Coturnix japonica: one gene and its partner. The main gene of each other region encodes a partner of the protein of the gene in region 2 in a complex. Links are inferred from orthologs where the notes say so. Each region holds a gene or a part of one and is shown on either strand. Other genes may lie near its edges.

Region 1 (3,920 bases), on a different chromosome or scaffold from region 2:
ACAAGATACTTGGTGGCAATGGAAAGTGAACCCAACAGTGACAACCATACATTTAATGAAAGCAAGTGCTGAGCTTATGACTAAAGGAAACTTATTCCCAAATGTGAATCTGAAAAGCACTGTACCACACTATGCTGCAGATGGAATGCATAAAGGGTCTCTTAAAGCTACAGAGACCAGATAATAAACCTCATCTATAAGAACATGCAATGAATTTCCAAACGTACAGAAGTTTTAAGCACACATTTCTTGCTGCTCTGTACTTGTAATGAACACAGTAAGATCTGGGAAACTCCGACTATCAGACACAACAGGTAGAAGAAACAATGAGACTGTTTTTAAATTCAAAGTGTCTCAATTCCTGTCTAACAGACTGATGGAATGAGAACTCCTAAATGAAGCACATTTACATTTCCGACATACATATATGAAGAAAATCAACGTTACAAGTTTCTCAGAGGAGTTACTAAAGGGACTCTATAGCCAGGTTACTCTCATTTCCATATGCTGCAGCACTGCCACATTGAATAGCTTCAGTATGAATATTCCTTGAATTTACTTTAAAGATTACACTTAAGATAAATTGTAAAGAAGACGAGATTTCAAGTCTGAACTTTAATATCAGAACTAGAACACCATTTCTTCAATTCATCTAAACAATTTAAAACCACGTTTCAAATTCTTATGGCACAAAACCGGCTCAGAACCAGAGGCCCACTTGGCCAACTGAGGGAAAGAAACTGAAAGATATAAAAGAGCTTCAAAGCGTGAATCGGAACCGAAGATGGCTTAAGGCTTCATTAAAACATTCGCCGAGTTCTACCGTCGCTCGTGTAATCCATTCTTTAAACAGACTTTAGGGGGATTGCACAGATACAATGCAGAGCAAAACCGGCTCACACTGCCCAGTTTGAGCAAGATTTAGTCACATTATCTTTCACAGGATTCAGAAAGACAGGAGAATAAGTTTAATCCTTCCTGCAAGGATCATTTTATTCCACACCCCAACTCCTTGAGTAAAATCAGAGATGACTTTAAAAAAAAAAAATTAATGCCACGCACACTAATAAAAAAAATTAGCGTGGGGCAAAACTTCAGTTTCAGTATTTCAATATTTTTCTGCCCTCTGACAGAATCAGAAACACAAAACAAAAACCAGACACAGCGTAGCTCTCACTTAGGCATCTGTTGGCAGTACAATCAATAGAAGATGATATAAGGAATCTGGATAATCATTCTTTTATAAAGGTGTCCTTAATCTGTTGTTGACCTTCTGTACCAAAATCTAGCCCTGTAGTCATCACTGCAGGTCATGAAGCCGGGGTTGGTGGGAGAATGGACAATACAGCGGACAATGCTGTTGTGCCCAAGAGAAAGGAGATTTCTTCGCTCAGCAGTTCTCGAATCCCAGCAGCAGAGACTTATGGTCCTTTCATCTGGCAGCAGCACGTAGTCTTCCGTGTGGTTGAAGACTGCTTGTGTCCTGTGCACCTGACGTCCACTCAAACCAGCTCCTGAATACGTGAAGTAAAATACAAACCAAATAAGATCACTTTTAGTTTTTCTCCCCAATGACCCAAAAACACAGATTCTCATTATCGTTAATAACTTCTGGTTTTAACATGCAGGCCACCTAACGTGCCTCATGATGTACTTCAGCCACACCTCTACCTCTCCCTTCAAAGAGAATCTGTTTCCCATTTACACATTTATGTTGCAAGGAATACACTGCTGCATCCCACCGGGTATTTGCAAGTCTTTATCGAGGAGGTGCTGCACCCTGCTGGTTGGCAGCAAACACAGCCAGTGCACAAGGACTGCACACATCCTAACAGTGATATCCGGTTCTTTTCCACCAGCACCCACTCTACAGTCGTGTTATGACCCCAGATGTTAAGCACATGACTGTTTTATCCGAAAGCTAACCCCAGTCATGTAACTCATTGCTCAAGTTAAATAGGTTGACACTGACACAGCTTTTCTTCTGGAAGTATTGTACATTTTCAACTTTTGGGGCCATTTATCCTCACAAAAGCAGTCTCTCCTTATGAGTAACAGCAGTAACATCTCATTCTTCATACACCACCTGCTCACTGGCCAGCACGTGATAAAGGTCCCTGGAAGGTCAGCTGCCACGTACCTGTGTACTTGACCAGCGTCCGACCAGTAGATATCTCCCACAGTTTAGCTACAGAGTCTTTTCCACTTGACAAGATATACTTGGAATTTTTGGAGAAAATCGCAGAACAGACTTCAGCTCCATCATGTGCCTTCTCAAAAGTAGTGATACAGCGATTTGAAACACCATCCCACAGTTTGATGCATCCATCCTTACTGCCCGTCACGTACATGTTTGCACTGGCGTTGTAATTGACTGAACATATGGCATCGATGTGCTGATCTTGAGGATTGCAAGACACAAAACACTGGAAAGTATTGATATCATAGAGTCGTAAAGTAGGGTGCTGGGTACCCACAAGTATGAAATCTCCAGAAGGATGGAAAGAGATTGAGCGCAACATCTCTGCTTCCTGTTTGATCAAAAAATACATAATTGGTGTCAGTTGAAAAAGAAAAAGCAAAAATTGAAGTGGCAATCCTGGTGGCACTAAAATGCTAAAAAATAAACTACATTATCAATCAGCACATGCTCTATTTCTGCAGAATAGAAAACACCCTGTGTATTATTTGTCAGGTCACACTGAAATGTACCATAGTTTTTGCCCTAGAGCAGCTTGCTGTGCCCATCCATCAGATAGTGTACAACAGCAGCAGGTTTTGTCAGCCACCACATAATCACAAACTTGTCTCCAGAACCAAGAAAATGCAGCTGACTTCAGAGTCATCCATATTAGATCCATGAGATTCTAAGACTACACCTATAGGTATAGCTATCCATTATGCACAAACTCACAATGCATTACTAGCAGGTCTGCCCATTTTGTAGCTGCATACTCCTATGTACCCAACCACTTGCATACCCTGATGCAATTCAGCTCACTGACACCTCAATAATCACACATTCAAGATTTGGTTGCTCTGAATTGGATGACTGTATCTAACCTGTATGTATTTGAAGGCTCTTTTGGCAGAAGGTTTTGAATAGTCAAACAATTTAAGTGTGTAGTCCCTTGAACCAGATGCTAGGATCTGTTCTGTCGGATGAAAAGCTAAACATGTAACTTCATCCACATGATCATACAGAGTCCGAATAACAGGGTGATTTTCCATGTTTTGCTGTGCTGTCTCATTCATCATGACCTACAAAGAACATTGAACAAGTTAGAGTTAGAAGGCAGAACACTCCTTTGACAGGGAACGTACTATTTTCACTTGCATGAGTGATTATATCACTACCTTTTCTGACATATGACTTGGTACGTTATCACTTATCTTAATTATCTGAAGACGTGATACCTTTATACAGTTATGAATTCTTATGAAATAACATCCCAGTATCTTTACAAAAGTACTGCAGGGAATCACAGAATGACCCGGGTTGGAAGGGACCTCAAGGATCATGTAGTAAATCTGGTGTGCATTCAGTGGAAAAAAATAACAAGAACTCAAGACAAACCCAAAAAAACCCCTTCAACTGTTGGCAGATAAGCATGCTAGAGAAAAAGTAAAGGAAGCAAATATGTGCTCTGTGAAACAGTACTGAAACAGCCACTGTGAACTTGGAAGGTCAGATATGAAGGTAGATTCATAACCAAACTGTTTGCATGGTAATAGAGATTATCAACATCTATTAGAAGCAATTTCTGGCTCAGCTCTCTAGAATGCTGCAAGGTGACACAGGTACACTTGCTCCGTGTCTTCTACCTGTTCTTCAAGGGTACTTTATAAGCCATTGTTGGAATAGGAAATACACTGAGACAGATATTTAGTCCAACCCACTGAGCCAGCCACAAGGCACA
Region 2 (3,820 bases):
AACCAGATGATCATCATGGTCCTTTTCAACCCAGGCCATTCTGTGATTGTATGACGAAGAAAAGGATTAACAGAGGAAGCACCTTCAGCACCTGAGGTATGGAGGTATGCTTTTATCAGTGTCAGAGGTACAGACTGCTCCTCTGCTAACAGAATTGCACTGTGACCCTGTCACATGAGGGATTTTCAGCACAGACGATGATTTAAACTCTAAATCTAATGGTTCTGAGGGACACCCTCAGCTCCCTATCCTCATCTGTCCAAAGCACCAGTGAGCAACATGTGGCATAAGCCACACCACCTACTAAAACTACTGAGTTCTCACCACGCTACAGGATTTTGCACTTTATCCTCAACAATTCCACATCTACAAGGTCTTAAAATCAACAAATGAATGAATGTCTCTGCAAGCGGGATGGGAACCTGCACAAATCAGCTCGGCTGCTATTTGGATGGCATTAAGGGAGAAAAGGAATATGTGTGGCTAATTTTGTCCCGCTGGTCTTTCTTTTTCCCTTGTTACTTTGTGCTGTTTGTACATGAAAGTGCTTTATTCAGTGCAGTGAAGCAGCTTTGGCAGACGTACCCTGATTTCTCAGGCGGGAGGCTCCCTGAAGTCAAAACACGCTCAAACAAAACTCTTGTGTTGTTGTCCTCTTTAAAAAGAGAAGGAAAAAAAAAAAAAGAGAAAGAAAGAAAAATCACTCTGAGTAAAACACATCACATTTCAGTGTGGATACTGCATTGAAGACTGACATTCTGATACCTTGATTTGTTTGTCAGTAATTGGAACAAAATCCAAACGTGGATACGATATATAGCGTATCTCAGTAACTTATTTGGGCCCTTCAGTTCATTACACCCCTTTTAAATGAGGGCAGTGTCTCTGTTGTATATTCCTCCATAGTTATTAGACCAGAAATTCTCAGTCCCCAACGAGCAGTGATGGAAAACTGAAGAAAGGCCTTGCGTTTATTCACAGAGACCTACAACAACTTCTTACATAACTACTGTCACTCTGACTTGAAATAAAACAGTCTTTATGCTTACAGGTGGCAGAAGAACAAAGATCTACCTACATTCAGCTCACAGAGGACACAGCCTACTGCTTCCTTGTGCATCTCAGTGTGTGAAGCTTACCATTAAGGTGAGACAGGTAGTCGATATATGCCAGTACGTATTCTGGAATGTCTCCGTATTTTTTCAGCCCCAGCTCAAAAATCTTAAAGGCCACAGATTTATCCTGCAAACGTTAAAAAGAAAAAGTTCCAAGCTTCAGTGAGACGCATGCTATCCCATGCTTCTTTAATAGCAAGCCGAGCACCTATACTTACCTTACTGCAGTAATACTCCATTAATGCTGCAGTGACGTAGACATGGTGGCGGGTCCGGGTGTCTTCTCTTGCCTTTTTAAATATCATTCTTCCAGATTTTATGCCTTCTGCTCGCCTTGCAAATTTCATGTATTGGATATAAACCTAGAAGGGAGCATATGAACACTAGCTGCAGTGATAACAAAGAGTGCTAGGATATGCGGTTTGTGGCTGGACCTGAAATAATCCTTACTCACAAATTACAGCTAACAGGTTGTCTAAGAAACAAACAGGACTGTCTTGTGTCTCTGTGTTGCTATGCTAAAAACGAGGCAGTATTTTCCATATACTGATTTGAAAAATGGAAAAGACCTCAGACCAATCCCCCAGAGTGACAACAGTTCATACACACATTCATACACACTTTCCTCAAGGCAGGGGAAGTAGATAAACGCGATTCCCATAAGCTTGTACCTCCTGAGAAAGAGGATTTCCTGTAGAAATAACAACTTTCCAAGAAGCAAAGACACCCACAGGGCTAAAGAACAGGCAAAAAGCCCATGGAAGCCTTTTATTCTTCATTATGGAACCCAAGACACAGGTTGTGCTGTCTGCAAATAGCTACACCTGATCAAAATGTAAAGAATGTCCTATCTAATTTCATGGGTTAATCCCGTCATTTGCATTTCTTGCTCCACTCACAATTAGATCACAAATAACTGCATTCCTCCAATGGGAGGGGCTGCTCTGTGCCTTCTCAGAGTACACATGTAAGGAAAGCTTTGTAATCTTTGCTTAATGAATAGAATACGTCAGTAAATGGATACCTTTCCTCTGGCACCAACCTGCTTAATTTTAGACCTCAGACCTTTTTATTTCTGCTTTGTCACATCTATATTACAAACTAAGTCAGTTAGGTTAGCTCTCAGCCTATTTGCTCTGTACCAGCACAGCTGGCGCTGGGAACAAAGCTGTTACAGCACAACAAAGGTAGATGCACAGCAATACACCTTGATAGCTACGTGGTGAACTACAATTTTCTTGGCAAGCTTATTTATAAACAGAATAATATATTTCTCTAAGAAAGGCAAGAGACGAAAGCGACGTGCTTTTAGTCTGTTCAGGGGAGGCAAAGGGAGATTTTAGCTGCACCAATTCTTAGGAGCTTTCTTATAAAACGTGACACCTCCATAATTTATTTGAAGAGATTGTCCAAAAGACACAGAGGATAAAAGTGTGCGTGACTTGGTGTGTCTGGATGGGTGACAGCCTGAAGTTACCAAAGCAGCTGAAATTCTAATCCAGTTTTGCCATCTCAGCACTCCACCTGCTCAGCTCTCCTTGTGACCCAAAGAACTCAGGTCAGTGTGGTGGGTGTACTCAGGTGGAGATGCAAATGTGGAAGAACCCAATACAGGAGATCATCTTACCAGAGTGGGATCGATGTCTTCAATAGCCAAGAGCCGGTTATAGATGCTGTGCACTTTCTCATACTTCATTCGACTCTAAAAGCACATAAAAGGGAAATACAGACTGCTTAGTAACACTGCTACAAACCACCTGTGGGGATGCAAAGATCAGTATGAAGTAAAGAAAAAGAGCCCATACTCAAGGCTGCCCTGAAAGCCAAGGGAGCCTTTTTCTTTAAGGCTGAAGATTTGTTTGCTGTTATGCTCCATTTCTTCCTGCAAAGACTCTCAAGGCACAATAAGTGGGCAGAATACACCCCACTGTGGATGCATTGGTCCTCATCTGATCGATGGGACGTCTCTTATCCTATTTTGTAAGTGAAGAAACTGATGCTCTGGTAAATGTAAACTACTCAGTTCATTTTTCAAACTGCTGTGAAGCTGAAGAGTTAACATTGAAGCAGAAAGACATTACGCTTTCAAAACAATTAACACTATTTTCTCCCCATTTCGCCTGCCTAGTCTCAGAATCATTGGATGAAAGTCAGAAGAATCAGTAAGTAAAATGCTCAGATTGTCTATTTGGTATGTTTCAGGAATACAACCATATCGAAGACAGATATCTGTGGGTTTTATGGCACTACTGCACTCTTTGCTCACCTCTTCATAATCTGCATACGCAAAATAGAGAAGCATATTCTTCTTTAGTAAAGTGCTGATGGCTCTCTCATAAATATTAGCAGCCTCATCGCTGAAAAGTTTAGCATTGTTCATGTCCTGTTATAAAATAAACACGACAATAGTTCAACGCCTGCAGCCCGCCCATGGATCAGCTCTTCTACACAACAAGTTCCACTGAGCGCCCTCATAAGGAGTCACTCATCTCCCCGGTACGGAAGGAATCAGAAACAAACCCCAACCTTAAACCAGACAACTCCACAGCAGGTTATTGTAATTCATATCACCCAGATTCAGGGTTGTTTTGTTGTTTTTACATTAAAATAGCTCCATATTTAAAAATACAGAATGCAACAAAACTTCAGATGCTCGAGATTTTTCATCCCCCCCCCCCCCCCCCCTTGGATATCAATTGAGAAAA

The links.
Region 1: the proteins of CSTF3 (region 2) and CSTF1 are in contact, whole or in part, in a crystal structure (PDB 6B3X), measured with the Homo sapiens proteins. The link is inferred for Coturnix japonica from reciprocal best matches to the Homo sapiens genes CSTF3 and CSTF1. Residues at the interface, in NP_001317.1 of Homo sapiens: Tyr581, Pro582, Lys583, Pro584, Asp585, Thr586, Gln588, Met589, Ile590, Pro591, Phe592, Pro594; in NP_001028693.1 of Homo sapiens: Arg118, Glu216, Ala217, His226, Pro227, Ser228, Asp230, Phe231, Thr240, Arg242, Leu243, Tyr244, Cys251, Phe252, Val253, Ser254, Cys255, Tyr270, Ser272, Ser273, Ala274, Asn275, Gly291, Val292, Ser293, Asn294.

What each region holds. Positions count from the first base shown.
Region 1 is NC_029535.1:10,848,560-10,852,479, forward strand, and holds the end of CSTF1 (cleavage stimulation factor subunit 1), read right to left. Parts: intron 3,262-3,920; coding exon 3,064-3,261; intron 2,532-3,063; coding exon 2,141-2,531; intron 1,515-2,140; coding exon 1,255-1,514; 3' UTR 601-1,254; downstream 1-600. UniProt on the Homo sapiens protein: One of the multiple factors required for polyadenylation and 3'-end cleavage of mammalian pre-mRNAs. May be responsible for the interaction of CSTF with other factors to form a stable complex on the pre-mRNA.
Region 2 is NC_029520.1:4,222,133-4,225,952, reverse strand, and holds part of CSTF3 (cleavage stimulation factor subunit 3), read right to left. Parts: intron 3,499-3,820; coding exon 3,382-3,498; intron 2,818-3,381; coding exon 2,743-2,817; intron 1,478-2,742; coding exon 1,334-1,477; intron 1,243-1,333; coding exon 1,140-1,242; exon of another isoform or gene 770-1,139; intron 656-769; coding exon 586-655; intron 1-585. UniProt on the Homo sapiens protein: One of the multiple factors required for polyadenylation and 3'-end cleavage of mammalian pre-mRNAs.